Astyanax mexicanus: one gene and its partners. The protein of the gene in region 2 binds, or shares a complex with, the protein of the main gene of each other region. Links are inferred from orthologs where the notes say so. Each region holds a gene or a part of one and is shown on either strand. Other genes may lie near its edges. The genes, in order: rac2, cytochrome b-245 light chain and ncf2.

Region 1 (10,247 bases), on a different chromosome or scaffold from region 2:
AAAGTTATATCGTATAAAAAAGACTGCTTACCTTCATATGTCTTGGTAGAGTATGTAATCTGCAAGCTCTTAGTTTCAGCTCTACCAAATGGCCTTTGTGTGCAATACAGGATGCGAGAGGTGCTCATGAACAAAAGCTGACACAACACTCTCGCTCTGTCTGTCTCACACACACACACACACACACACACACACACACACACACACACACACACACACACACACAGACACACACACACACACACACACACACACACACACCACAGCATCAAAGTGGTAATGTTTCCATTATCCTGGTTAACCTACATTTTGATAAAATAACTAAATACTCATAAAAAAATAAAAAATAAAAAATAATAATTAAATTGTATGTATTATGTAAAGTTTACTTAAAAGACTTAGTATGCTTTAAGTATAAAACCACTAGACTAGTAGTTTACTGAGAGTAAAGTGAGAGTAAAGTATATTTTAATAAGCTAAATTAAATATGTAAACTACTTGTGTACTCAAAGTTTTCTAAATGTATAAATAACGTACACTTAAAGGTAAACTTCAAGTGTACACGTAGTAAACTAAGAGTACATTGCTAGTTTACATTTAAGTTTTATTTTTGTATATTATATATTATTTTTGTACATATTAGTAAACTAGTTGTGTAGGCAGAGTGCACTACTTGTACACCCAAAGCACTCTTAAAAGTATACTTTTTAATACTAAATTGGGCCAATTTAGTCCCAAGAAGTATTGAAATAGTGCACTTACAAGTCAACAAGTACATTGATTCTTTATACTTGCTACATAATATATACTTGGGGAATATATTTTAACTTCTTAGCTGTAAGTACCTTATGTTTCGCAGTATAAGGTGCACTTAAAATCCTTTAATTTTCTCAAAAAACGTCATTGTGCCTTATAAGCCAGTGCGCCTTATATATTATTTTGCTAGTCAGGTTGTAAGAAGCAGTAAAGCCACTTTGCTGAAGTAACAGCATTACACATGAGTTTCAGTTTAGTTCTGAAGCAGTATTAGCATTAGCCGCTAACCGCCATTTCCCCATCTAGAGGTAAGTATTATCAGCCTGTAGCCTGCTGCTAAGCCCAGCTGGCCGTGTTGGAGTAGCATTAGCATTACCCGCTATCTGTGGTCGTTATTTACCCGTTCAGAGATGAGTATTATCGGCCTGAAGCCTGCTCCTAACCCCAGGTAGCCCTATTGGAGTAGCATTAGCATTACTCGCTATCTGCGGACGTTATTTACCCGTTCAGAGGTGAGTATTATCGGCCTGTAGCCTGCTGCTAACCCCACCTAGCACTGTTAGAGTAGCATTAGCATTACTCGCTATCTGCGGCCGTTATTTACCCGTTCAGAGGTGAATATTATCGGCCTGTAGCCTGCTGCTAACCCCACCTAGCACTGTTAGAGTAGCATTAGCATTACTCGCTATCTGCGGCCGTTATTTACCCGTTCAGAGGTGAGTATTATCGGCCTGTAGCCTGCTCCTAACCCTGGCTAGCACTGCTGGAGCGGTTAGCCGCTAATGCTAATACTCCAGCCTAGTGCTGGAGAAATTCAGTAATCTAAACTTAGTGTAAATAAAAGAAAGCACTTTACTTACCCAAATAAACAGTTTTCAGGAGAGGACTCTGTGTAGATTAACATCCAAAAAAATACAGTAACTTACACTTTTTTTCATAAGGGAAGGAAAGCAAACCACACTGTTGCAGTTACAGTTAGAGCTGCTACAAATAGGTATTTTATAGATTTAAAGCAAAAAAAAAAATGGGTGGCTGCAAAAAGAACCATAAAAAACCTCTCAAAAGTTAAAATAGGTTGATTTAGATGTTCTTTGCTCATTTTTAAATATTCTTCACACTTAAATTAAGTGTTTTTTTCTATGACATCACTCAACCATTATTCTTAACAGATAGTTCCTGTAAGTGTGTACAGGAAACTCTAGACAATACCAAGAACCGTTTTTAGTATTTAGTAGATCTTCTTGACTTCTTAATTTATTTTACAGAAGTAAGCACACTAGAGCATGATCTGTTTTTACCCCCCTCTGTTGCTCTGGTCCTCTCTGATCACAATTGCCATCCTATTCTACCCTCTCCTGGTGAGGCATTAGAAATGCAGGGTGGATGATGATCTGTCCTAAATCTCAAAAGCCCCTTATTTTCTAAGAAGCTAGTGCACTAAAAAGTCTCAAATGGTTTTAAACACTGCTTTGCATCCACTCAACTGTGATCAGTTAGTGCACTATTAGTAGATTAGTGATAAGTGACAAATCAGATTGAGAGTTTTCTTACTTTATGCAACTGAATCACGACACAGTTAAGTGACATTGTAATCTAATTGGCCCAACACACATTTTAGACCAAGATTCCCAGATTCTGCTTTATAACATTGAGTTTCTACAGGACTTTTAATCCTCTTCCCTCAAGTTTGTTGCCAAACATGGTTGAGAGGCCTGTTTCTGTTTAATTTCGAATGAAATATTATTTAATATATTTAATAATAATAAGAAGAAGAATAAAAATACATTTTCACAATACTCAGTTTTATGACAACAGTAGTGATTCTTTTTGATACTATTACATATTGGGTATGTGTTTATTTTTATTCAAAGTAAAGTGCAGTTCATTTAGTTAAACAGGAGTAATTATGTTTTTTGTAATAAAATATACATTTGGGTTAATGTTCCTGTAATAGGATATTAACAGGTTGTTTTTGTTTTCGCCATTGAAATGAACTTTCACTGAAGGCGATGTAATAAGTTGTTAATATTTTTGTGATATTCTTTGTAAAAGATAAATTGCCTTTAGAACTGTTAATTTTTCATTTCTTTTATTTACTTATTTTTCAAAATCAACTTTAATAATATGAATACGTATATTATTACTGTGTCTGCCTAATACACAGTAAAAAAATAAGGGCCACTTAAAAATAATGAGTTTCTTTAATTTTACCAAATTGAAATCCTCTGGCATATAATCAAAAGGAAGATGGATGGTCACAAGCCATGAAACCAAACTGAACTGCTTGAATTTTTGCACCAGGAGTAAAGCAGCATAAAGTTATCCAAAAGCAGTGTGTAAAACTGGTGGAGGAGAACATGTTAAGATGGGTGAAAACCGTGATAAAAAAAAAAAACAGGGATATTCCACCAAATATTGATTTTTGAACTCTTAAAACTTTAGGAATATGAACTTGTTTTCTTTGCATTATTTGAGGTTTGAAAGCTCTGCATCTTTTTATGTCAGTCATTTCTAATTTCTGCAAATAAATGCTCTAAATGACAATATTTTTATTTGGAACATATACCTGTAAATATCAAAATCAGAGAAACTGAAATGGTCTCTTATTTTTTTTTTCAAAGCTGTGTACTGTAACACAGGCTATACTTCAGCAACGTTCATCCTCAATAATGCATTTTAAATTATTAATGACTACAAATTTGTTATTTTATTTAGTGTGACCAGTTATCAGTCGCCTCTTAGGCTTCAGTATTATTTGCTAACTTTTTCTTGGAGTTTAATTAGTTTAGGCTCCTCCCACACTCTACAGCCTTACAATAGAAGCAGGAAGCCAATTTCTTGTGCTGTTTGAGGCCTAATAAGGTAATAAAGATAAATTAAAATGAACATTTAATTGAATAATTTGTTTCTGTTTTTTTTTACCAAGTGTTCAGTAGCTAGAAATAGTAAATATCTTGTATGACATTTTTTCTTTGGCATTCTAAGCTTTAGCTTTAGCATGTTCTGTTGGCTTTTCTGTCGGGCAGCATTTTAAAGTAGATGGATTAAATTCTAAAGTGTGAAACTAACTATTTAAGTTAAATAGCAGTATTGTGTATCATTATTTTGATATACAATTTAATAACAAATATAAAATGTAGCAATGAGGCTAAAATGGGTTTCTAAAATGTTCTGTTTCAATTGAAATGTCACTTAGCTAGGTAAGCTAAGACATACCTGTCAAGTCTCCCGTTTTGGCCGGGAAACTACCGTATTTTACTCCTCTTTCCCGCCGTCCTCCCGTATTAGTATTTTCCCGTAAATTTCCCGTATTTTATTAAGATAAAAAAATATATATTATTGAGGATACAGGGCACTGACCGCTCTGTGTCTCTTAACCAATCGTGGAGCCGGTTCAAGGAGAAAGTCCCGCCTTTCACTAGAAACAGCCAATCAGCTTGCAAGGAGGGTCAGTGTGGGGAAGCCCCGCCCTCCTCGCTGTGAGTTCAGGCAGCTAGTTAAAACATACATGCAGCGATTTTTCTAAAAGAAAGGTAACGGTAGTCTAATCATGGAAACTGTGATGAGATTTTTCTGATAGCTGCTTAAAAATACTCCGAAATAAAACACACAGATTAAACCTTTTAAAATAAAAAAAATTACAGCTTGTGACTCAGTTTAACTAGAAATGTGGAGAGGACCGAAATTAACTGAACTAATCAGGGGTGGAGTGATCAAAAGGAATAAGTATTAATTAAAATTTATTGTGTAGGCCCCTTAGGACTAATTTTTACTGATGAAACATATCTGGTCCATGTCCTTTTAGTAAAAGCTCATAATACCATTTTAGGTCACCAACAGTCATTTTGCAGAATTTGTGCACTCTTTGTTCAATTTTAAATCCATTAAATAAATAAAAAATATATCATATAAAAGAGTGCATTTATTACAAAAAAGACATGAAATCTTAAATAAATAAAAAAAGATATAGAAAAGGGTTTTTAATTTGGCTGTATTAAAAGAATGACATATGTAGGAATGTCCACAACATGTTCAGATTCTGATAATCTAATTGTAGTGTGTAAGTGGTTCACATGTGGTTATTTTAGATTTTTTGTAAACCTGTTTTAAAATGTAAGAGATACTGAACCTTCGTTGGGCTGGTGGGACGGCTTTAAGCGGACAGAGGAAAATATCCCTTATTTTTAAATCTAAAACTTGACAGGTATGCTAAGAGAGCTTAGCTAGCTTAGCTTATCTAGGTAAACTTAAAGAGACTGAAAAGCTTATGATACAAAACAAAAGTGGTCTTTTGTCTGAATGTTTTTTTTTTTTTTTTTTTTAGAAAACAGAGCCATTATCAGTACCATGTTACCTGCAACAATCTTTAATGTAAAATGAGTTAGATGCAGAAGTAAAAACATTGGTTAATTGAATTAAATTCCTCATAAGCAGCATCCAAGCACTTCATTTTCATAGTTTCCACTTGCAAGCTAAATAAAAGATGCTGAAAGGGTTTTTTGTTTGGCCATTCCACCTTAAACTCTGCAGCCTGCTGCACCTGGCTATAATTTAGCAGGCTGTACTGTTTAAGGTGGAATAGCTAATTGTTGCATAATTTAAGGTGATTTAAAATAAAATATTAAAAAAAAAATAATAAGCTATCCAATTCTGACATATAAATATTTAAAATAAAAACCAGAGTCATGTAAACACTATAAAAAGTGTTACAATTAGGTTTACCAAAAGGTTTGTTTAACACTTTTAAGTTACCACATGATTCCTTATATATTCTTTCATAATCTGGATGACTTCAGTATTCATTTACAATGTAGGAAAAATCAATAATCAATTAATGTAAATATGTCCAAACGTTTAACTGGCACTGTAGTTTGAAAATAAAAGAACCCAATGCAAAAATGAAAGTGATCCAAAGTCTAAACCCTAAATTCTGCTGATTTTAGAAAACAAATTGGTGGTCAAAGCTGCTGTGGTGTAGGAAACCTGTTGTGAAGCGGAAGTGATTTAACAGAGCTACTTAATCTACGCTTAACTGAATTAACTTAACTATTTTTGTCTCTCTTTAAGGAATTCCTGCTTTTATCCTTTCAGGTTTTTTCATTATCTATACATTATTTGCTCCTGCGTTTTATACAAATCAATTTCTCTCTTTATTTACTTCTTTCTTTCTTTCATTTTTTTCTGAACATCTGAACTATATACACACCCTGCATGTGCTTCAGGGAGCTGAAGTTCTTATTTCCTGCTACATGACCAGTTTCAGGTGCTGTAGAGCTGATCTGCAATCAGTCTAGCAAGTTACGAATGACATGAGCGTGCATGTGCAAGACTGGGCGGCTCTGAGGCGCGTAGATTCAGTCGAGTGAAGGGAGGAGGAGGTAGAGCAAAGGGAGGAGGAGTGAGTGGAGGGGGGGAAACACACTGACAACTTTTCTGAAACAGACTGGTTTCCTGTATTGCACCTTCTTCACTTTTTGCACACTCTGGTTCTGTTGAGGCGCGTTAAAAAGCTGAAAAGAACAGCTCGGGGGGGAAGATGCAGGCCATAAAGTGTGTCGTTGTGGGTGACGGGTGAGTTAAAACGTGAATTTGCTTTATTTTTCTACTTCTTGTCTTAGTCTGAGGTGATAGTAGAGTGACAGTTTTGGTGTAAAGCGGATTTGGAGTGAACAAGTGATGGCTGTCATGTAACTGAAGACCGGTTGGGCGTTTATTTCCTTCTCTTGCTCTTTTTGCTGTCATTTCTTTTGTCTTTACGTCATTTACTTTTTATTTTCTGCCTTTTTGTGAATAAAAATAGTAAAAAAAGTTTAATTTAAGGTAAAATCTGATGTTTTAAAAGAAACAAAACCTAAAATTTATTAAAGGGAATCAGACACTTACATCCTTTACCTGGACTGGTCCAGATTCTTTTAATCTTTTTAATTCTCATGTTACTATAAAATAAAGCAGCTTTAGATGGGGATTTGCGATTGAAGAGTTTTGCATCTGGAAGTGACTCAACTCGATTTGCTTCAGTGCGGAACTTTAAGCAGCAGATTAAACTGGCCGTTCCTTCACTTGGATTGACTGTGGCCTGGTTCTAAAAGGTGTTCCTTCAGGTCTTCAGGTGTACATTGGAGTCTAATCACAGTGTAATCAATCAGATAGCCTACGCCTACAACTATCTGAAGTGATTGGAGCGGCCTAGAGCATCCTCCATTACTCCATTACCCTTGCTGGGTTTGAAATAAGCCAGGCCTCAGGGTCTTTAAAAAATGCCCCACATATATTACAAATAATGGCATATTTATTCCAAACAATGGCTGAAAACATTTCTGATCAAATTTAATGTTCAGAAATGTCCAGGCATGCTTAAAAATAGAGCTACCAAAGACTACTGTATGTAATGCCATTACAAAACCGCCACTTTTGCCCTTAAAAGCCTTCAAATGGATGATTCTTTTGACCGCCATTTTTTTTTCGTAAATGAAATCAGGGTTTGATTGGAAGAACATTGATCAGTTTTGGGGAACACTGTACCAATGAACAAAAATTCCACACATACTTTCAAATAATTCCTAAAATGGCCCCATATGCCAGTGTTTCTCAACCCCCCAGTCCTGGAGGCACCCTGTGCTGAATATTTTAGTGTTTTCCTGCTTGAACACACCCACTTTTACTCCAGAATTGAGCTGATTAGTAGGATCAGGTGTGTTTTGATCAAGGAAAACACTAAAAAGTGCAGAGCAGTGGGCCTTCAGGAACCTGGTTGGGAAATACTGCCTCAAGCCATAGAAAAAAAGTTGTCAACTGTTGGTGAATAAAAAACTATTTTGAGTGCAGGCTTCTTGTGTAATGTGTAAAATGCGAACCTCAGCTCAGTATAATAGTTCTGTAACAATTAATTCAAGGGTTTTCTTAAACTAGTGTTAACTATTAGTAGAACAATTTTTAAAAAAGATACATAGATGTTCTAGTATGAAGAACCTTGAGGAACCATAAAAATGTTTCTAGGAATGGCCATAAATTGTTTAAAAGTGTGGATAGTATGTAGTGGACACAACATTTTTAAAGTCAAAAGATGGCTGATATGGAAGCTACCTGCCCTTGTTTGCACTAGAGATGGACCAATCAGTGTTTTTGGGGCAGGGCTTTTTGGCTTATCCTAACATTGGCCACTTCCATACCGGAACTGCACTTTGGAGAATGAAGTGGAAACTTTACAAAAATCACTGCTTATCCAACAATAAACACAGTATGAACAGTATGATTCCTTTAACATTTTCACTGCTGGTGCTGTTCCTTTGGTGGAGGTCTGCAGTGTTTGCTGTTTTGTGTTGTTAGTGGTGTTTGTTAGCTCTGCTTCTCACTGACAGATGCAGTCTGGACAAAATCAAACTCCAGCCCCACAGTGCTGCTGTGTAAACCTTAACTCCTGTATCGAATTGGCTAAATTAAGGAATTTTGACTGAAAATCAACTAATACCGATATATACCGATTGGCCTTTACATCTCTAGTTTGCACTTATTGTGTTTTGTAGAGAAAATCGAGTCAGAGCATGTGCACTAATTGTCCAAACTCCACCCACATTTCTTCAATGCAAGCTCTAACCTATTTGTCTATAAACTTAGAGTTACATTTCTGAGAAGAATAGGTAAAATAGGTTGCCTTGCTGCTTTTTTCCCTTTACTTACATGGCATTGGACAGATTGTGCTACAGCCAGCCACCAGACAAATTTTAACCCACTTTTCAACTGCTGCTGTCCAGTACAATCTTATACCCCAGCCAGCATTCACAGGTTGAGCTTACATTGTGGATAAAGTGGATCACTATAAGTGGGCATGAGCTCTAAATGGGTTTGTGTATGTGTTATTTGGACCCAGTTGGACTTCCCAAATGGACACCATCATTACAACCCACCTTAATCCCACATTCATATGTGGGGTCACGATGGAAGCCATGGTTTCCAACTTGATAGCACCCACACAAATACAGTATGTTATATGGGGAAACAAGCTATGGAAAGGAACCTTAAACTTCTCAAGAAGGACATTGAAGAAAATTTTCAACCATGGAAACAGAGATTTGGTTACTAGCTTAAGCTTTAAAAACACTGCACTACTAAGGCTATGCTTACATTACAAGCCACATTGCTCAAATCTGATTTTTTGGTCACATCAGATTTGGCCATTTTGACTATTCACATTCCCAAATGTAAGTGCCTTGCATCTGTGTGTAATGTTAATGAATATGTCCCTGAAACATCTCACATGCGCACATTGATACGTGTATAAAAGCCGCCTTCTTCACCAACAACAAAAAACTCAATATTTGAGAGACGACCCTTAGTTTTATAAAGGGAAATGGATGCGTTTTCTTAGCAGCTCATATGTGGAGCATCTTTTGCTGGAGTGGAGAGTAATCAGCTGGTCTGAAATACATGCTCAGGTCAAGGAAGTGAAAAATGACCAGGTGGTTTGCTTTTGCTGTTTTTGCAGCTATAGCTGCACAGCTGCACCAAGAGATTTGTGGGTACGAGAAAGAAGCATGTAGCACATGCGTAAAAGAAAAAGGACGCATGAATTCCCCATGATTTGACCGTTCACATTCATGTCGCATGTCTATGGATCAGATATGTATCTGATTAAGGACTACATATGAAAGCGACTCAAATTTAATTAGAAAAAATCTGATTTGGCGCGTTCATACAGCCATGAAAAAATCTGATCTGAGCCACACTGAGCAAAAAACTGATTTAGGTCACTTAAGCCTGGTAATGTGAACACAGCCCAAGAGTCAAACATGACCTGCAGAAACCCAGTTCATTTTGTCACACTTTTAAGACCATACAGGAAGTTGTTATGCCACGTTCGGAGTATGCTCAAATGATCGCTATCAGAAAAAGGAAGCTGTACTGTAGAGGCTTAGTTCCTGTCAGGAAGACTGACCCTTTAGGTTTAGCTTTGAAATCATTTAGAAGAGATGTTTTGGCCTTGGCAGTGGAGATTGAAGAGAAGTTAGACGTCTGACCATCTGTACAATCATTTCCTCAACAGTATTTTGCCAGAACTGAACTCTGAGTGCATAATATCACTTACAGAGATGAAGCTGTATCTTCTGTATGCTATCTACTACAATTAAGCTGCCTGGGAGCTTCTGAACATTCTGAATCTTCTGAAAGTTCACCCCACTGGTGTTATCGATCTAGACTGAAAACAAGACTGCACTAAACGTCATTGAGTCATTTGATCCCTCATGATCCAGCTGCACTACAACACCTCACCAGAATCTAAAAAGCATTCAACATTTTACAGCTTTACAGTCTGCCGAGCTAACTCTCACTCACACTGGAGTCACGTGCTAATGTGTTAGCCTCAGTATAACACACTAGTCACACACTAACATATTACTCACAACAATATAATACAGTACACTGCGACACAATATGTTCCGATATGGAAATCTGATATAAATTTGCACATATATGGACATGTACAGTACACTGCA
Region 2 (10,023 bases):
GTCGCAGCTGAGAGTCACTGGCCAGAGCTCAGAGTGCTGGTCCTGGTGGTGAGTACTGGAGTATCTCTTATCATAACCATACCCGCATCTTTATGCATCTCATATAGTATTTCACACTTACATTCTTAACTGCCTGTTTTATTTATTTTTTTGTTACATTTTATTTTTTATTTTCTTGACATGGTTAAATTTTAAATATTTTCTCAACCAAAATAACTAGAAAAGGTTTAGTTTGTAAACTATTTGTCTCCTTGGCTGTTAATATACTAAATAAGATATGTTTAAAATAAAAAGTATGTCATATAATTGTCATAAAACTATATGTCAGGGATCAGAAAACATATTCAACACCAATTTATAAAAAATATGTATTTCTGTGATCCCTTACACTTTCCAGATGCCCAATGTCTGTCACCACCTCTGAGTATTTCACAGCCATCCTCTCTGACTTACTGCTTAAATAATACAGTTCTTTATCTATTTATTCATCTCACTAGTTTCTTTAAATTTGGAATGTCACTAGGTGCAGAGATTACACAGCTTAAGTCAGGAATACTCCATCAACAGAGTGCCAGTCCTATCACTGAGTGCAGATACTGTATATTTAGATCTGTGGAATTGCAGTTCTAGTAGAATTAGAGGATAGTGATAACTAGGCCATTGCAAAACAAAAGAAACCTGATTAATCAATGCATTTTATTACTCTTTACAAAGGCATATCTGATACATTTGAGATATTGTGTGAAATGAAATGATTGGTTCTTGTATGATTTCAGGTCAGTGCAGAGCGGAAGCCTGTTGGAAGTACCTCTGGCATGCAGACGAGTGTTAAGACAAGCCAACTGTTGAAGGTTTGCTTCTGTTTGTGTTTGTGTAAGCATACTGTGCATATTAGCATCAAAATCTATTTTATATAATAAGTTAATTAATTTATGAATTTGTCTTGTACGCACAGAAAGGACACCCTTTTTATTTCAGAAATGTATTGAAAATGAAAAAGGGAAATTACCTATCTGAATAGCCCAGTAAGTAAGAGGGCGCCTATCTTTTAGGCTTAGTCCAGAACACGGTCACAATCTTGAAAGCCTCCATCAGGGTTCGTATGGTCATGAAAAACCTGGAAAAGTCATGAAATTTAAAAATGGCAATTTCCAGGCCAAGTTTGGGAAAAATAAAAATGCCCAGAAAGTTTTGGAAAAGTCATGAAAGTTTGGCCTACACATCTTTGTGCATCAGTTTATCAATGGAGAAAATCTATTTTGAGCTCCGAGTTAATTCATTAATTTAAGCCTACAAAATGGAGCTCTCAGGATCTGACACACATTTTATTAATAAATATTGTGTCATTATTTTTATCAGATTAATTTTAGACCTATTATATTTTATCAATTTTGATTATAGTTTTGGTTGATTTTTGGTTTTATTGGCAATGATAATCGTATAGGCATGGAAATGTGCCATGAAGACATGGAAAAGTCATGAAAAAAATAATAGAAATGTATTGGTTAAAAAGTGTATGAACCCTGCTCCATTTTTTTTTTCTGAAACAAAAGGGTGTCCTGCCAATTTTGACTCAAGACATACATCAAAATGTGCATACACTACCCCGCCAAACACAGAACAGTTAGTATAATGTTTTGCACCCTTCCCCTGTAGCACCGTGCAGACAGTGTGGTTCCTGGCCGTATGGAGGAGATGATCAGTGCCATCCAGAAACGTGACTTTGCAACTTTTGCGGAGCTGACCATGAAGGACAGTAACCAGTTTCATGCTACCTGTCTGGATACCTACCCTCCCATATTCTACCTTAACGACATTTCACGAAGAGTCATCAGCCTGGTCCATCGCTACAACCAGCATTACCAGGAGACCAGAGTGAGTGTAGCCGACAGGTTTTTACCATAACATAGTCTTACGACTATCTCAGGTCTTGTAGGATGTGGCATATATAGATATTTCTATGGACTTCTAACTTTGTAAAAAATAAAGGTGCTACAGTAGACGATGCAATAAAAAAAAAAACATTTTTACAGTTCCATTAGAAACCTAAAATTAGATATGGGCTGATGTGGGATTTTTGGGCCAATGCCGATATTACACATGTATATACTGTATCTGTCAATGCAAAACTTACAGAGACTAGACAACCCAGTATAGCTTTAGAAATAAACAGTTATCTGCCTTACATTTAATTTTTTTAACCAAAGGAATACAAACAGTAACATGTAAAGAATCAATTTCTGGTTTTATATGTATTTAGGTAACTGGTCCTTACATAGACTAGGCAGTAACAGGTTAAATAAAACAATAGAGTTATTAAACAAATAAAAAATAATAAAAAATGAGTTATTTTAAATCAATGGATTTTAAAATAGTGCGACCAGTGTCTGCCAATTTCAGTACTACAGCCAGCATCTCTTTGTTGTTTTTCCTGCATACAATACATATGTCAGGAAGTATCTGTTAGAATTATTGGCCAAATGCCAATGATTAAAAAATAAAATAAAATAATTTGTCGATATCGATATAATTTCAATATCATCAGGCATACCTTCCCAACATTGTAGTGTGTGAGTGTGAATAACCTTTAAAAATATATTTACATTAAGTAAAGGATATTTACACTCTCACAGCTCTTACAGTTGTCTTTATGGAACCAAAAAAGTGTTTCTTCTATAGCAGCACTAAGAGAATCCAACAATCCAACTCACTGGGGCCCAGTAGTCACAAAATGTAAAATCTGGATATTTGATCCAGAGGCCTGTTATCAATAACTGAGACACCCCTGTCCCTTTTCTGTAGAGATATATGTAATATGCATGATTTAATACCAAATACCTTTAATGTGTGAAACATAGGGGCACATTTGTAACAGAATTCTTCTGAAAGCAGGGCAGTGCAGATGCTTTTATGCTCAAAGTTTACTGTTAACTGAGTGTGTCGCACCAAAGAATCCAATATATTTTCCATTCTGTGGCCAACCAGTGAAATGTTGGCATTGGAATCCTCCTGTACAGGAACTCAGTTGTGACATTGATTTAGTGACCAAATGCTTGCTGGGCTTGTAGATCATGAATGTGTTGTAACGTATTGGACCCAGTATCATACTGTATTCTATGTGGTTATAATTCATCTGATGAACACTAGAGGGCCCCATCTGTGTATCAGAATTACTGTATAGGAAGTTCAACACCCTTAATATCACTGAACAAAAAAAAGTCTTGATAATGTATTTTCTCCAAAAAATATATTTGTTTGCCTAATTGCATTTTAATTGTTGCAAAGCCCTGTTTTTTTAAGATCATTATAATATTTATTCTAAAATATTTCCAGTAAAGTTGACACAGCCGCTGTGTCACTTGTGTATAGAAACACATGACATTTATATACAATGCATGTCTTTAGCAAGGAGACTAATTCTGTTAAATAGTGAATATTCCTAATAAAAGCAAATCTATATTTTCCAGGTGGCATATACTTTTGATGCAGGTCCTAATGCTGTGATCTACACTTTGCAAGAGCATGTGCCTGAATTCGTCCAGGCTGTTCGTCATTTCTTCCCTCCAGAAACCAACGGTGGAGAGTAAGCTTTTCATTTCAGACTGATGCAGAATATAATCAGATTTAAACATTGATCAGCCATAAAATTAGTACCATTTGCTTAATATAGTGTAGCATCCACTTTTGCCATCAAAACAGCTCTAAAACATTAAGACATGGGTTCTACAAGACCTTTGATGGTGTCTTGTAGCAGCAGGTTAATTAATAAACTGGTTAACAGGTTGTCCTGGTACTGACTACTGCATACCAGCATGCCTGATGTTCTGGAGATGTTCTGACCCACTAATCTAGCTACTAATCTATGCTTAACGTCCAACACATCAACTGGAAGAACTGCCTGTTTACTTGCTGCTTAAAGATAATCAGTTATATTCACCTCAACTTCACTCAGTAAATGTTGCTGAAATACATAAATACATGTATATGTTGTACATCATGCAGTTGCATGCATTAAATGAGGTTGTTGTCTCCAGGTTTGTAAAAGGCCTCTCTGTGGACTCTGCCTCGTTGTCTGAAGAACTGAAGAGAGCCATTGGGATGGAGCCTGTTCCGAAGGGCATCAGCTACGTCATCAGCACTCAGGTACGTGACTCAGACTTGCCTCAGATTTAAGGAAACTGTGCTAATTTCCAGAACAGTAAACAAGTGTTCAAGGAATGGGCTAAATCCTGTGTAATCATTAACTTGCAGAAAGATTAGGAATCATCATTCACAGTAATGTGTGTGTTTTTTTTTGTTGTTTTTTTTTACAGGTTGGACCGGGTCCGTGTGTGGTGGAGGAACCAAACCTTCATCTGTTAGGCCCAGATGGACTTCCCATGAAGAGCACCTGAGTATTAACAGGAATCATAACTGGCCTAAAGGAAAAAGAAACTTTAAGTTCAAGATGAAATACTTCAGTCAAAATCTATTTAAAAACAGAACAAGACTTTTAGTTTTTTTTTTTTATTATTGTAAGATTTTTGATTAATAGGATAAGAATTAAGAAACTATTGATGAACTTGATTTGTTCAGCTTTTGTATAATTTAAAATGCAATAATGTCTATTTACATAATGTTTGTATGTATGTAATTTTGTGTAGATTGTTTGAGTGTATTTTTCTAGCTTTTTGAAATTTGTTTGGTAATGTTCTTAAAATATACACAGCTGTTGATGCCATGAGTCTGTATTATTTTATAACTTTTTTGTGGCCAGTGCTTTCTTTCTTCTTTGCTATTTCTTTATTTATTTATTTAAAACAACAAAAACAACATTTTCCGAAATGCAAAGTAGTGCAGATATATGTACATATATGATCCGACACACAGTAAACCAAAATATAGCAAAACATAATAATAACTAACTAAAATACAGTACATATTTTAATAAGTGACACTGTTTAAATTAGTTATAAAGTTATGTGTCTAGTCTCTAGTAAATTTGCCAGTGACATTACAAGTACAACAGGGTACAAATATATAATTTAAGTACTAAACGTACATATAATTGTATAAGTATAATGTAAATGTTAAAGGAAATTAAACAAAAAATCACATGTATTGTTCACATGTATACATTTAAAAAAAAACACTTATTTGACAGGTATGTTTGGAACCAGATAGTCTGTGTTATTCTGACTGATTTTCTTTTCTTTCTATTTTTTTTCTTTTTACTTTTTCTTTTCTTTTTTTATTTAATTTATTTCCATGTGTTCCCGTTTTGCTGGATTCCAGTATATCACAGGGTGGGTGGGTGTGTATATATATATATATATATAATATATATATACTAAGTATATATATAATTTACTGCCATAAAAAAATCAGCAGGGTATAAACAATATAAACAATGCAAGAACCAAATGTAAAAAAGAAAGTTAATTAATCTTAAGTTTTAAGTAATTAATTAGTTACAATTATACATTTTAAAAACACTTATTTGACAGGTATATTCAAAACCAGGTAATCAGTGTTATTCACTTTACTAGTTCTAATCTTCTGACAGATTTTACTTTTCTTTTTTTCCATGTTTTTCTTGCTGGATTCCTGTGTATCACATGGTGTATTTATGGTAATTGCACTGTTATAGATATGAGTTATGGGGTGTGTTGTTATATTTAGGTTAAAACTGCTCTACAGGCTGAATACAGTCACGCCTGTTGAAAGCGTCCTGAACTAGAGGAAATGACGCGGTCAGTGGGCGGGGTTTGCGCGGTGTGGCTCCTCTCACCTTTGTTCGCTGTATAAAGTTAGAGTGATTGTATTAAAAGTGTCAGTAAATCATCATCAGCAGTAGCAGCAGCTCCTCCACAGACCCTGTGAGCTCTTATTACCAGACCCGGAGAAGATGGGGAAGATTGAGTGGGCGATGTGGGCTAATGAACAAGCCCTGGCTTCTGGACTCAGTGAGTATCTCACAACTCTGGAACACTTCTCATAACAGCAGTATAAAGCGAGGGGCTCAGCAGAAAAAAGATACATGTATATATATGACTGTAATTATGAGGATATATACACAGGTTGGTGATGTCACTTAACAGCCCGGTGTATACAAACTAGCAATACAAGTTTAAAAACAGGAAAAAAAAAACAGTCAGTGGAAGTCAGACATGCTTTCACACAATATATATATATATATATATATATATATATATATATATATATATATATATATATATAACAGACCACTTCAGTTTCAGAATCAGTTTCCCTGATTTAGCTATTTATAAGTATATGTTTGTTATTTTTTTATTGTTGTTTTATTCTATAGGCTACTGACAACATTTCTCCTAAATTCCGAATAAAAATAGTCATTAAGAGCATTTATTTGCAGAAAATGAGAAATGACTGAAACAAAAAGATGCAGAGCTTTCAGACATCAAATAATGCAAAGAAAACATGATCATATTCATGAAGTTTTAAAAGTTCACAAATCAACCATTGGTGGAATAACCTTGGTTTCTAATCACAGTTTTCATGCATTTTGCCATGTTCTCCTCCACCAGTCTTACACACTGCTTTTGGATAACTTTATGCCTTTACTCCTGGTGCAAAAATTCAACTAGTTCAGTTTGGTTTGATGGCTTGTGATCATCCATCTTTCTCTTGATTATATTCTAGAGGTTTTCAATTTTGTAAAATCAAAGAAATTCATCTTAGTTAAGTGTTCTCTTAATTTTTTTCCCAAAACTGTACATAGATAGTTAGTACAAATGTGTACAATACTATCATTACATTTTGACACAGTATAAAAACAGATTCACATTATGTGCAGGATTTTAAAAAAGACAAAAATGCATACACAATACTGAGTCTACTAAAATCAATAGTTTAATCTTTTACATATTTACATAACTACAACTTGAAATTTGTAAAATGTAATGGCAAAAATAGAGGTACAAATCTGAAGGTATTAGGTCTGTCACGATAATTACATTATCGGCGTATCATACAATAAATGTCACAATTTTTGTCACATTTTCACAATAATATTTGACCGTGATATCCTCTATTGTGTTTATTTGTATGTTTGTTCACATATATATAACAGTAAACAGAATTTTAGCCAATCATGCAATACCAGACCAGTTCTTTAGTCATTAAAATGTAATGGAGTTAAAAAGACAATAATGCATTGCAATGTATTGATTGCAATATTTATTTCTGGGACAATATATTGTCCAAAAATTATTTTCATGACCGGCCTAAAAGTTACTAAAATCACTGTATATTTTTATGACTGTGAGTAACAGTGTATATTATGGCTTTTTGACATAAGAAGCCGCAGATCAGGTTAAAGTAAAATCTGGTGTGCTGAGCTGATGAGGAAATTCAGGAGTGATTCATGAAATCTTTTTTTAAACTACTTCCCTGTTTCAGTTTATCTAACTGGAGGAATCGTCGGAGTTGCTGGACAGTTAAAGGGCTGGGAGTACGCTGCTTTTGGGATGTATCCTTTAATATGAGTGACTGTGGACTGATTTAATGTTGACCAGTTGTCTGTCATCTAGATCTACTCCCACTTGTGGATCATATGAGTCCTAAAATGTGCTCCATCTGTTCAGTTTCCTTATCTGATCCTTCCTTCTTTGTTTCTATATTAATCTAGAATGTTACAGTGCAAAAATAGGCCTCTCTGTAGGACTGCAAACACTTTACTCTTTCTAATAATGCTGTTTAATACTTCTTCAAATATTTTGAAGTGATATTCTATTGTAATTAGTATTTGTATAAATAATTACTGAATTGTATTGAACTTGTTCTAAACAAGCACAAACAGTAGAGAGTAAATATATTTATTTGTTAGACTGAACTCATGTGTTGTCTTAGGATTTAAAATGTATTTAATGTAGTCGTTTTTACATTGCAAACATCTTGAGATCAGCAAGACTACATCATATTGTCAGTCAGACAATGTATATTTAATATAAAGCAAACATTTGGGCACCCCTGTTCAAATGACAAATGTTTTTTTTAAGAATAAATAGATAAACAAAATGAATATACAAAATCTATCATTTGTATTTCTTCACTGTCTAATGAAAAACAAGTATCTCCAAAATGGCAACTTTACAGGAGAGAGATAAAACCTACTTAACTTTCAATGGAACAATGTAAAAGTTTATTTTAGGTCATTTTGGACCATTTAAATTGATCAAATTACCAAGAAATTTTGACACAGTGTACAAATCATGCAGTAAACTAAAAATCCACAAAAATTTAATTACTTGTTTTTCATTGGACAGCAACGATTTGTTTTTAGGTATTAACATATGAGAGGCAAATATAACAGTATTGTAACTTCTTGGAAGACTTGACTTATTTAAATACAGAAAATCCTCAACGTATTTAATCTGGCTGCCCAGACACTTGCATAAGACTGTATTGTGATTCTCTGGTTACAGTCTCTTGTTTCTGTTTTCCTTCATAAATTGAGCCACGTTTTTATAACTAATTGAATCGAACTGAATCATCTTCAGTTTTGGATGCTTCCTTAAATAGATTTTTAACATCTGCATAGCTTCATACTTCATACAGGTTCATACAGTACCAGCATATACTTCATTTTACACATTTCATGTAATTTTATTAAAAAACATTAGTTCCAGATGTATGAGTGTGTGTGTAGCTGTGTAAGTGAAAAGTTAGCGGTTGCTCTTCCGCATAGTTTGTTACCCTTGACTAGCGCAGAGCTGCAGGTGTGTTTGTGTGTTTGCTTGAGTACCCCAGGAGCAAGAGGGCTAAAGGCACCAATTATGAGAGAACGTGAGTAATGTCTTCACACTCAGCTCTTTCTGCTAGACTGCCTTCAGGAAACGGATTCTATTCTGAGCCCAAAACAGAATCAGTTATTTATAAATGCATTTTACAGAAAACCTAATAAAAGGTTGTTCGTCACATACACAGTAGTAGTGCAATGCTTTGATGAGTGTCTGATCACATGAAACAATATGATAAAAAAGATCAAATGTATAGAATTAATATAAAATATGTGATACTTTGTTATTTACAATGTTTATATCATAATACTAACTTTGTAACGTCTTTCTTCTTTTGTGTGCCTTTCTGTCTCTTTTCTGCTGACAAACAGAATTTCCCCAATATGGGACTAAAAAGTATTATCACACCCATTAAATAAATAAATAAATAAATGAAAGAATAAACGACATAGAGACACATATATAGAGATAATAATACAATTCATTAAAAATTCCCAGAGCTCTCCTTATGAGCATTTATTATTATTATTTATTAATAGTTATCATATCAACACATGGACGTATTCAATGTATAAAAACAGTTTATTTTTTAGTAAATTTAGAGCATTTCTATTGGTCTATTCATTCAGAATAATATGCACGTAACACAAAGCCGCCACAAGATTTAAACAATGGGTAAAACAAGTAAAAATAGAATAAAAAGGAGCAGATTTTTTTTATTGGACAGAAATGACATGGACTAAATACATACCATATATAGAAACTATATAGAAAGTAGAAAATAGTTTAGAAGTGAACACCTGCTGTATGAAGATCCTGGTTATTCATATTTCATTGTTGTGTGATGTTGTTTTGTTGTTGTTGTGTTTCAGTGGTCAGTACTGCTTCACTGTGTGTGTGAAGGCATTCGGACCCCTGACTAGCAATTACTACGTGAGGGCGTTCCTGCATGCAGCGTGAGTACCTCTGCTTTATCTCCATTCTGCATATTTTACCTTTGTCTCTCAGCACATCTCATTGTTGAAGCAGACAGACAGGTTACTCTATGCTTTTCTGTGTATTGCTTTGTGTTTTTACAGTGTTACATAACTGCTCTGTCCTCAAAACCCCCTGTTCTTTATTAAATTACACCCTGTTTTAATATTTTTAACCTACAGGCTTTGCGTCCCAGGAGGCTTCATGCTTGCTACAGTTTTAGGATGTGTTTGTCTGGGCATGGCCAGCCTCATCTACCTGTCTGTAAGTGTTAATAATGTTTTTTCAT
Region 3 (10,896 bases), on a different chromosome or scaffold from region 2:
CAGCGCTGCACATCTGGATCCTCGTATTCATGCTACTTCACTGTGGGAATGATGTTTTTAAAGTTAGGAACAATGCCAAAAATGATCAATTCTGGTCTCATCTGACTGAAGAGCTTTTTCCACATATTTGTTGAGTTCTCAACACTTCTTTTGGCAACTTCCAACAGTGGCTTTCTTCCATAAAAATCAGCCAAGTGCCCAGACTCTGACTGTCCTTTACAGGGTTTCTTCCATCTGTCCAGCTCCTCTTGAGTCCACATCTGCACACTGATTATTGGGTAACAGCCTTTTATACACAAATGAAATCTTTAATAAAATGATATAATATTATATGTATTCAATGGATTATTTAATAAAGGTATAAGTTTTTGGTATATATATATATATATATATATATATATATATATATATATATATATATATATATATATATATATATATATATATATATATATATATATATAACCAAACTCTGACTTTATCCTGGACTTCATAATGCAGTTTGATTAGGCAATACTTATCTAACAAGCTCAGAAGTCCCTCTGGAAACACTTTGATAGCATTTGATTGAGCCAGAAATAATTTAGGGGATTTAAAAGTATTTTAAAGAGGTGAATACTGGAGCAATAATGTGATGCTTTTTATTTAAAAACTATTTGCAGACTACACCTGAATTTTATTACAGTACAATGGACTACTTGATACTGATTCATGACATAAAATCTCAATAAAACATCTTTGAATTCCAGACTGTAGCACTACAAAATGTCAGAAGATTCAAGGGTGAATACTTCCACTTATAAAAATAAATTTAAAGTAGTGAATTGGATTATTATTTGTGTTTATTGCTCTTTATGTTCTGTCATATGGAAACAAGGTCACATATAAATGGCTTTCAGAAATAGTCCTTACTAATTTCTTTTAGATTTTTTGCTTTTGCAGTGTGTGTGTAGCTTTGAAAATGGCAACCTTCAGCAGAATTATAAAAACAAGGCTATCTGCCATCTCCATCGGTCAAACACAACTCATGTTTCCTGCTTTAAACCTAACCTGCAGATAGTTTCTAACCAAAAAAATTCAAACCAGTAGCGAAAATAAAAATATATTTATACATATAAATAAAACTTTTTACTGCATAAAACGTTTAGACTTAATATAGCTGTAAATAGCAGGGAATAACACTTCCACTGGGCTTACACTTTCATTTCTTTTACAACTGGAAATTAAAAGATTAACTTTATCAGACCACGTCCTCTGCTGTAAACAAACATTGCAAAGTCCACACTGCAAAGCATTAAAACTAGATTGCATCACTGGAGCACTTATTAACATAAGCTGCAACAATGGGGTTGATGTTCTTAATTTAAGTAGCTACATAAATATCAGGGAATTTACTGCCACTTATTGAACATCAATTTTCAAACTGAAAGTGAATGACCTTTTTTCCAGTCCTCAGCATTTGTTCGGTCACTAGAGTGACGTCTATATGGAGGGGTCAATTAGATAATTGCCTGCCAGCGTAAAACTGATGGAAAATGCTGCAGCCTACATAGCAGATGCAATAGCTTTACTATGATGACAATTTCTCTGCTTTATTTGGCTTGAACTGTTTCATGTTTTGTTCCCGACAATTGTTCTGTTATTACTTAGTGTTTTATATGTCTAAAAATATTACACATGTAAGAGCAAGGCATATACATACATCTTGTTAACACAGCAAAAAGAATGTACAGTGTTTGCGGACAGCCGAGAGAGAGAGAGAGAGAGCCCTACACAACACTATGAGAGGCCTCACCCTCATAATGGACAGGGATCTCGATTTTCGGTCCGATGACATAATGGCCCTCCTCCAGGCTATGAGCAGTAATCGTGGTCCACTGCCGACATGAATGAATCAAGAGGTAGTCATTTTCTCTTAGCCCTTCCACCGATTCCCCTGGAGAAAAAGACACTTATCTACATCAATATGGAAATATGACACTATAGTATCAGCACAATAAGTCAGGTAAGGCCACAGAGACAAGCAGGCATTCAGAGATATAATCTCAACACAAATAAATGTTTCATGTAGCAACACTGAAATATTGTAACAGAGTTAAACCAGGCCAGCCCTCTGAATTTAATTAAGCTAATATCAAGCCTGCGTTCTCAACTCGAGGGAATGCTCAGGGAAGTCATTTACATAAAAATCTACGGATGTAGCCTTTCCAGATTGCATCTCCATGCAAATCACTTTCATTCACTAATTCCCACCCAGACGAGTTATTCATCTTTTCAGCTCCTGACCTGACTAAGTGAAGTGAATGTGTCACAGACAGCAGGGTGCCATTAAAGTGCTCATCTGGGTTCCTTATTAATGATTCAGGCTTTGTGTGGATGCAGGCAGAGGAGATTATGCCAGACAGTTCCCAGAATTTTCCCTCAATGGTTTGTCCCAAATTACTTCAGAATTTAAGACAGACGGTAATATTACCTCAGCATTTCAGCACATTTGGGAGGTGAAATAAGATGATGAGAGTTTTGTGATCACAGAGCTAAAGGACAGATTTTTTTGTGTAGAAGCATGATATTAAATGTATACAGTATAGTGCAAAAACTTTATTTTCCTTACTTTTTTTTATTTTTCTTCCTTCTAGCTTTCTCTGTCGCTCCAAACAATAGCAACAGCTAAATGTGGGATTTAAATGCTCTTTAAATGTCCTGAACATTGTTCTGGATGGTGCAGCTATTTAGTGTGTGTCATCTGATGTGTTTGGGCACTTTTGGAGATGCAGGTCAAGTTTAGTGTTACCCTTTTCCCATTGTGTTTCTGACCTTCGTACTTTGCTTAGTGCTACAGGTTAACAATTAGTCGTCAATGAACATCTTTAATGAGCATTTACCTACTAATTATTAATAGAGCTGCAACAATAAGTCGATATAATCGACAATGTTATATATATTTTTTATTTGTCTACTACAAATTTCATTGTCAACTAATACTTAATTTGTGACCGTAACAGTACACATTACACACAAGTGCTATGGACAGAAACACAATGTGAGATAAATGGGTTACTCACACAGGTTACACTCAACTTAGTCTGTGTCTCTGAACTTTCCATGTTTAAACAACATCTAGACATTTAAATGGCGTATAAATCTTTTTTTAGCTGTTTTTATCATTTGACAGATGTAGAACATTGTAAAAATAATCGCTGACTAATCGACTGATCGTTAGATTGGTCAACTAACAAAACACTCATTAGTTGCAGCCCTAATTATAACAAAAAAATAAATAAATTTACAAACTTAGCTAATGCGTTCATCTTAGAAACTAAACAAAAAGGCCAATATTAGTGTTAACAAAAAAAAGGTTTGTTGATCACAATATTGTATGATAAGTCAATAATGTAGCAAATTATTGTGAGAGGCCTGGTTATTATCAAACACCTAGTTTGCTAAGTCAGTGCTTAATGACGTTATATCAGGGAAGCTGGTGATGGAATTGAACACTGTGTCCAACAAACATCTGGAACCAAGCTTTGTTCATTCAAATATTAAGTAAATGTCTTCAAATTGTGACAGCCTTGACAACCATATGCATACAGTTATCACTGGGGCAATCTTTCTCTGTAAGTAAACCAAATCTCTGTTGTCAAGCCAGTTCCTACACCAACAGAGAGAGCAAGAAGACCAACCTTTCTGCGGATCCTGTGATTTACAGCTCCTAACCGCTAGCAGGTTTACGGGCTGGACCTGACTTTAGTGCTTTAGCTATAGTTCAGTGTGCCTTAGCTGCACATAACATAGTTAAGAACAATACTATCTAACCTAGATAACTAGGTCAGCGGTTTCAACTCTGTTGACAACACCTAAAGTAAACTAGATTCAACATTGGCGTTTAAACTAAAAAAATATAAGCAATATGGTGAGTCTGGGATAGAGGTGGGTAAGCAAGCTCCAGAAAGTAAAAATCCATCCCCGGGTTTTGTACCAACTGCCTGGGCGGCTCTGCTGCAGCTGGCAGATGGTACAAAACCCTGTGGTGGATTTTTACTTTCTGGAGCTGCCTTACCCACCTCTAGTCTGTGAATACCTAACCTAAGCTAGCTAATAATATTTTTGTTACTCGACATTATGGACTGTAACTTTAGTTTCAGTGGTTAACACTGACCTGACCTGTTAGAAAGAACATGGCTAGCTAGATTACCTAGATATCCACTAATAAAACACAGCTAGCTAACGCTTCCCTGCTGCAATATTATTATTATTAAAGGCTGGCTAACCTAACTTTATGATGGCCAGCAGTCCACCAGCACTGACAATGGAGCTAACGAGCTAACTAACTTTAGCAGGCGTGCTAAGCTAACCAGCCAGAGCTAATGCTCGGAATTCCAGGCGAGCTACAACGCCACCCACGCTCGGGAGTTGGAGCGAGTTTATCCGAGCCAAAACTCGCCTAGTACCAACTAAAGCCGCCCAAAAACACATCCCACACCTGCAGCCGAGTTTATTAAAGTCCAGTTTATAAGTCCAGCCTTACCGCCGTCCAGCTTCACAATCTGCGGGAGTCTGTAGGCGCTGACCAGCCGATCCAGGGGCAGAGTGGTGGAGCTCCAGGTCACATCTTTCAAACTGTTGTACAGCATTGAACCCACGTCCATGGTAGCTCGCTCGCTAACACCAGCGCCTCATGCCTCACCGCCCAGTTCTCCCGCGGCGCAGAGCGGCTGCTGGTTCATGGAGAGAGCGCTCCGGCGGCCGCTCTTTCCCCCTCACCTAAAGGACGAGGCCATGGCAGCCCGACGGCTCTGTTTACACTCACAGGAAATGCCATGGCTCTCTCTGACCATAGAGATCTGGAGCCGCTTCCTCCTCTCACACCACTGGCTGCTCGGGTTGCCCGGGAAACCGCCGCCGTGAATGGCTAAACTCCTCCTAATCCATAAATACAGATTTTTATCTCATATAAAAACAGACAATTATGCGTTATTGAAAAATATAAGAAGATGAAACAATAATCTAATAATCTTATAATAATCCTAATTAATAATATTAAAATCATAACAAAATATTAAATAGATAAATGTCGCTTTGCCAAATCCTCCCCAGTATGGGCTACTACTAAATATGAGTTTCTTTGATTTTACCAAATTGAAAGCCTCTGGAATATAATCAAGAGGAAGTTGAATTTTCACAAGCCATCAAACCAAGCTGAACTTCTTGAAGTTTTGCAACAGGAGTGGCATAAAGTTATCCAAAAGCAGTGTGTAAGACTGGTGGAGGAGAACATGCCAAGATGCATGAAAACTGTGATTAAAAACCAGGGTTATTCCACCAAATATTGATTTCTGAACTTCTAAAACCTTATGATTATGAACTTGTTTTCTTTGCATTATTTATTTATATAAAAACTCCTTTTTCATTCTGTTTTTCGTTTTCTGCAAATTAATGCTCTAAATGGCAATAGTTTTATTTGAAATTTAGGAGAAATGTTTATTTAAAATCACACATTTTTCAAATGAAAAATGTTGCCATGTTGTACTGATGTGAACCAAGAGCAATTAGGTCACAAAATCGTTTTATACATTTCCTCAAACTCAACCAGTTGTTGTGGTATACACCTGTATACAGAGTTTCAAGATAGTAAAAAGCTACATATATTTACATATTTTCTGCCTTATAGTTTATTACTAAAGTCACCCATACTATGAAGAAATACATATACATTTAAAAAATATATATTTTACATTATTCAAAGTAACACCTTGCGTGAATGACAGTTTTAAACATCTCAACATTTTCTCAGTCAGCTTTATGAGGTAGAGTCACCTGGAATGACTTTCAGTTAACAGCTGTGCTGAACTTGTCAAGAAGTAATGTCTTGAATGTCTTGCCCTTTTAAGGTGTTTGAGAGCATCAGTTGTAAAGTTGTAAAGAGGTATAGTTGGTATACAGTGAATAGCCCTATTTAAATTATGTTCAAATCCATATTATGGCAAAAACTACTCAACTAAGTAAAGAAAAAAATGACTTTAAGAAATTAAGGTAAATTAATCCGAAAAATTTTAAGAACTTTGAAAGTATCCCCAAGAGCAGTCACAAAGACCATCTAAAATGAAACTGGCTTTCATCAGGACTGCTCCAGGAAAATTACCTCTGTTGCATCATAGTTACCAGCCTCAGAAACCGCAGGTTAACAGCACCCCATGCTTAAAAATATGTTCAAATGTTTGTTTTCTGTTCTCTGAGTGTAATCATTATATTAACCTAATAAATTGTCATCCCCTTTTTGTTTAATCTTTATTAGTATATGTCAATGCAACTTTTGAGACTATTAAACCAGGTCCAGCTCATCAGCTGTGATTGATTAGAATATGGTTAGAGAGGATTCTGGAGGAGCCTGTCTTTTTTAAACCTCAGATATTAAGTCTGGTTTGCTGTTGATTGCTAAAGTTTCATAACTCAAAGAGTTCTCTGAGGACTGTAGAAAGAAGGTTGTAGATGTAGACGAGTCTGAGGAGGGATATAAAAAGATCTCAAATCCATCAGCCTTGCACAAGACAGTCATGGGGCTGGTTTCATTTTTTTGTTTCTGGGTTACTTTTCCTGGAACAGCTGTTTTGTGGCAATGTGTGTGTTGTAAAATGACCACACAAATAAAATTGAATGGAGGGGGGGATTCTCAGTCCATTGTCTTTTCTGGACCTGTGCCAGCTCTAATACAGTTACAGAGAAAGTTAATCTGCCATAGGAAATAATGAGCAGCCAGCTCTGATTGAAGCACTTCCTCTTTGACAGTAAGAGGCTGTTCCGAGCTGAGTTGGTTCTCAATAACAGGGAAGAGCCATTTCAGTGAGGTTTCAGCAGCAGTGAAGGGAACATGTCTTTTGTGAGCACTCTGCGGCAGTGGGATGAAGCAGTGGCTTATGCAGAGAAAGGAGATGTAGCCGCAGCCCTCAGGACATTCCAGGACATTGAGGAGAAGACTTCTAAAATCGCCTTCAACATTGGATGCCTCCATCTGAACGCTGATGACTTTGAGGCTGCTGAGAAGGTAAAGTCGACTGTAGACTCTTGGCCTTGTCAAAAAGGTCATAGATAAAGTTATCAGATTATAATAAGTAGCTTCAAAACTTAAAATATTGTAAAACAGAATGCTACAGTATCGTTTTCTAATGTTCTTCTTAAAATAAATGTTACTTTGAAAAAGGAGAAGTAAAAGTTGTTTCAGGCTTTTAAGAGGAAACTCTCTAATCTCTCATTTCAAGGCATTTGACTGCAGTATCAGAAAAGATGAGCATCTGGCTGTGGCTTTTTTTCAAAGGGGAATTACATTCTACAAAAAAGAAAAGTAAGTGCTTCAGTGATTATTTAGTACCATGTTTAATTTTGCCACATGCAACAGAATAAGTAGGGAAGTGTGAAGGTTGAATCAATGTTTTTTTTTTGTTTTGTTTTGCTAAATAATTTTAATTAAATATTTTATTAGAAAAATATTATATATAAAAGAGTTTTCAAAATGTTTTACACAAAAACCCTAAACATCTCATAGGGATTTTTAGTGTAACAGACTAAAGAGCTAATTGAAACAGTGGCTGAAAGTACACTGCCTGGGGAAAAAAAAGTCAGCTCACTACCTGAATATACTGAATATAGACCAGGTTATTCCATCAATGAATTCTTTTATCTTCCCTGATGGCACAGGCATATTCCAAGATAACAATGTCAGGATTCATGTTGCTGGAATTGTAAAATAGTGATTCAGGGAGCATGAAATCATCATTTTCACACATGGATTGTTCACCACAGAGTCCAGATCTTAACCTCATTGAGAATCTTTGGGATGTTCTGCGCTTTGTGCAGCGGTCAGACTCTACCATCATCATTGCAAGATCAGTGAAAAATGAATGCAACACTGGATAAGTCTTGTGTCATTGCAGAAGCGTATTAAAACAATGCCACAGCAAATGTGTGCTGCAATCAAAGCTAAAGGTGATCCAACCAAATATTAGATTGTGTGAACTTTTTTTTAGTGGCTACGTTTTTTTGGCCAGGCAGTGTAGATTTGACTAGTCTTTAAGCTAAAGAACAATGCACTGCCCGTCTCCTGCACTGCATATGGATGTGACTTCTCACCAGACACCACTGGTCACTGTCATTACCATCCACTGTGCGTGCTGTTTACTGTGCTTGCACCATTTCAGAAATGGAATGATCCATTTATCTGGCACCCACTATTAGAAATTGCTGTAATTCCCATAATTCACTTTGCCTGTGTTCAGCCACACTTATAAAACAACACCTCGCAACTTTTACAGGTGTTCGTACTCCCAAGCTGTCCCAGGATGTAAACAATACTTCACAATTAATAAATTTGCACACTGCTATTCCATGACTTTTGGCATGTCAAAACACACATACATATCTGAACTTAAATAAACAGGATTAGAGAAATAAAAACATCTCATAAATGGCAAATTGTATTCTGATAATACATATCAGAACAATAGCACTGATATATGAGGGGACATGGACTTTTTTTATGTTTTTTGGGGAGGTTATATGTAACACTGTTATATGTAACCAGACCTTGTTGTGTGGAGGCTATATCTTTGCCTGGCCCTGATCTGAAAAACTGTAAAGTGTCTGGTGAAGTAATCATGACATTAAAGCAGAAATCAGGTGTGAAATGGACTTGGGATGTAGTGAAACATGACAAACGTTTGTTTAAAAAAAACATATTCTTACGCCCTCTGGATTACGAAATACAGCAAAAGCAGCCAATGTTAGCAACATAAAAAAAAATATATATATATAGCATTGTTACCTGTCCCCACTCTCTAACTATAGATTTTACCATAAAATATAATTATTAAAATCCTTCAGAGATTTTTGCATTGTTGCGTGAGTCCAAAACGCATCTATGCTTAATTTTTTTTTTTTTTTCACAATAAATCCATAATATTTAAGTTAAATACACATTTTAGTTGTCACTTGGTTACACTCATACTTGTTCCTTGGGGTCTAGGTGCTCTGACTGTGAGACTGACACTACTGCTCTCACTGAGGCGGCTCAGGGATTATGTCACATGCAGCGCCGTGCGCAGTGCCCTAGTGCCTGTAAATTTAATGGTCCAATGAAGGTCATTTAAAAACTAGGACATTTCCTCACTTTTTGAAAAAAACCCGGGACGCCTGGGACAGGACGTGAAATACTGACGTTTGGTCACCCTACACTACACCCAAAGTTAATTGCGCACCAGATTGTTCCTTTATTGCACACAAAACTGTCTGATTAAAACACTTCCTTTTAAAATAAGATGACCAAATCCATTCAGCCAGAATGTGTTGAAGTACATGATCTTTAATATGTTAGCTACATTTTCCACAAATGTTAGCTTGTGGTGTGTCTCTTGTCTGCCTTGTGAAACTGGAGGGAATTTGATGTAACGTTGCAGTGCCCACAGTGTTTCACTAACAGGAAACATGTTGAGAAAGGGCTTCGTTTTTTTTTATCAGTAGAGCTTGCACTGCAGATTTAAATAAAGCGTAATATCTAAATATATCTCCTTACAGATTTGAGGAATCACTTCTGGACTTCCAGCAAGCCTTTAAGGAGCTAAGAGGAAACCAGTTGATAGACTACAAACCTCTTGGCCTGAGGTATAAACTTTATGCTAGTGAGGTAAGAACTGTTTGGACTTACATATGATTGTAAACAGAAAATTAGATAAATAAAAATAGAGGTGTGAAATTTGTCATAACAATATTTTTTAGATTATTAAACAAACTTTAAAATCAGACACATATAACCTGAATAAATTTAAAAATAATTTTTTAAATAATTGTTTTATTTATTAAAGGAAAAAACTATTCAAGCCCAATCTAGACCTGTGTAAAAAGTGGTTGCCCCTAAACCTAACAACTTGGTTGTGCCACCACTGGCAGCAACAACTGCAATCAAGCTTACCAATAACTGGTAAAGAGTCTTTCACATCTCTGTGGAAGAATTTGGTTCCTCTCTTCTTTGCAGAATTGTTGTAATTCAGCCACATTGGAGGGTTTTCAAGCATGAACGTCCTGTTTAAAATCATCCCGCAGCATTTCGACCAGACTTTGACTAGGACACTCCAAAACCTTTGTTTTGTTTTTTAAAGCCATTCAGAGGTGGACTTGTTTGTGTGCTTTGAATCATTGTCCTGCTGCAGAACCCAAGTACGGCTGAGCTTGAGGTCACAAACAGATAACCAGCAGTATTCCTGGTTCCATCTATAAAAGCACGTTGTTCAGGCCCTAAATAAGCAAAGCAGTCTGAGACCATCACACTACCACCACCATGTTTTACATTCAGTGTGGTATTCTTTTTTTCTGGAATTATGTGTTAGTTTTATGCCAAATGCAATGGGACACACACCTTCCAAAAAGTTCCACTTTTGTCACGTCAGTCCGAAAAATATTTAGCCAAAGTCCTGGGGATCATTAAGATGTTTTTTTTGGCAATTGTGAGACGGGCCATTATGTATTATGTGTTATTAGCACTGACCTTAACTGAGCTAAAAGACCTACAGTCTTTAAAATGTTGTTCTGGATTCTATTGTGACCTCCTCGATGAGCTGTCCTTGCCCTTTTGGAATAATTTTGGTTGATTGGTCACTCCTGGGAAGGTTCACCAGTGTTCCATGTTTTCTTCATTTGTAAATATTAGCTTTCACAGTGGTTCACTGGAGACCCAAAGCTTTTTAAGCCTGGTAACCTTTTCCAGGTTTTTCTCATTTGTTTTTAAATTTCTTCTGATTACGGCATTTTTGATATATATATATATATATATATATATATATATATATATATATATATATATATATTTGACAGGTTATGTGGACAATCAACTCTATTACCTGATGATACCACATA

Evidence for each region.
Region 1: cytochrome b-245 light chain (region 2) and rac2 share a complex: the UniProt entries of both Homo sapiens proteins name them as parts of the phagocyte NADPH oxidase complex. The link is inferred for Astyanax mexicanus from reciprocal best matches to the Homo sapiens genes CYBA and RAC2.
Region 3: cytochrome b-245 light chain (region 2) and ncf2 share a complex: the UniProt entries of both Homo sapiens proteins name them as parts of the phagocyte NADPH oxidase complex. The link is inferred for Astyanax mexicanus from reciprocal best matches to the Homo sapiens genes CYBA and NCF2.

Annotation. Positions count from the first base shown.
Region 1 is NC_064426.1:7,286,116-7,296,362, forward strand, and holds the start of rac2 (ras-related C3 botulinum toxin substrate 2), read left to right. Parts: upstream 1-6,146; 5' UTR 6,147-6,292; coding exon 6,293-6,327; intron 6,328-10,247. Other genes in the region: cyth4a (cytohesin-4), read right to left, coding at 32-37. UniProt on the Homo sapiens protein: Plasma membrane-associated small GTPase which cycles between an active GTP-bound and inactive GDP-bound state.
Region 2 is NC_064416.1:13,290,664-13,300,686, reverse strand, and holds the start of cytochrome b-245 light chain, read left to right. Parts: upstream 1-5,765; 5' UTR 5,766-5,887; coding exon 5,888-5,945; intron 5,946-7,419; coding exon 7,420-7,489; intron 7,490-8,730; coding exon 8,731-8,805; intron 8,806-9,631; coding exon 9,632-9,715; intron 9,716-9,916; coding exon 9,917-9,998; intron 9,999-10,023. Other genes in the region: mvda (diphosphomevalonate decarboxylase), read left to right, coding at 1-48, 777-851, 1,657-1,875, 3,468-3,583, 4,035-4,143, 4,314-4,394. UniProt on the Homo sapiens protein: Subunit of NADPH oxidase complexes that is required for the NADPH oxidase activity that generates, in various cell types, superoxide from molecular oxygen utilizing NADPH as an electron donor.
Region 3 is NC_064415.1:33,923,877-33,934,772, forward strand, and holds the start of ncf2 (neutrophil cytosol factor 2), read left to right. Parts: upstream 1-6,758; 5' UTR 6,759-6,865; coding exon 6,866-7,039; intron 7,040-7,253; coding exon 7,254-7,336; intron 7,337-9,561; coding exon 9,562-9,670; intron 9,671-10,896. Other genes in the region: garem (GRB2-associated and regulator of MAPK protein 1), read right to left, coding at 1,796-1,936, 4,526-4,646. UniProt on the Homo sapiens protein: Subunit of the phagocyte NADPH oxidase complex that mediates the transfer of electrons from cytosolic NADPH to O2 to produce the superoxide anion (O2(-)).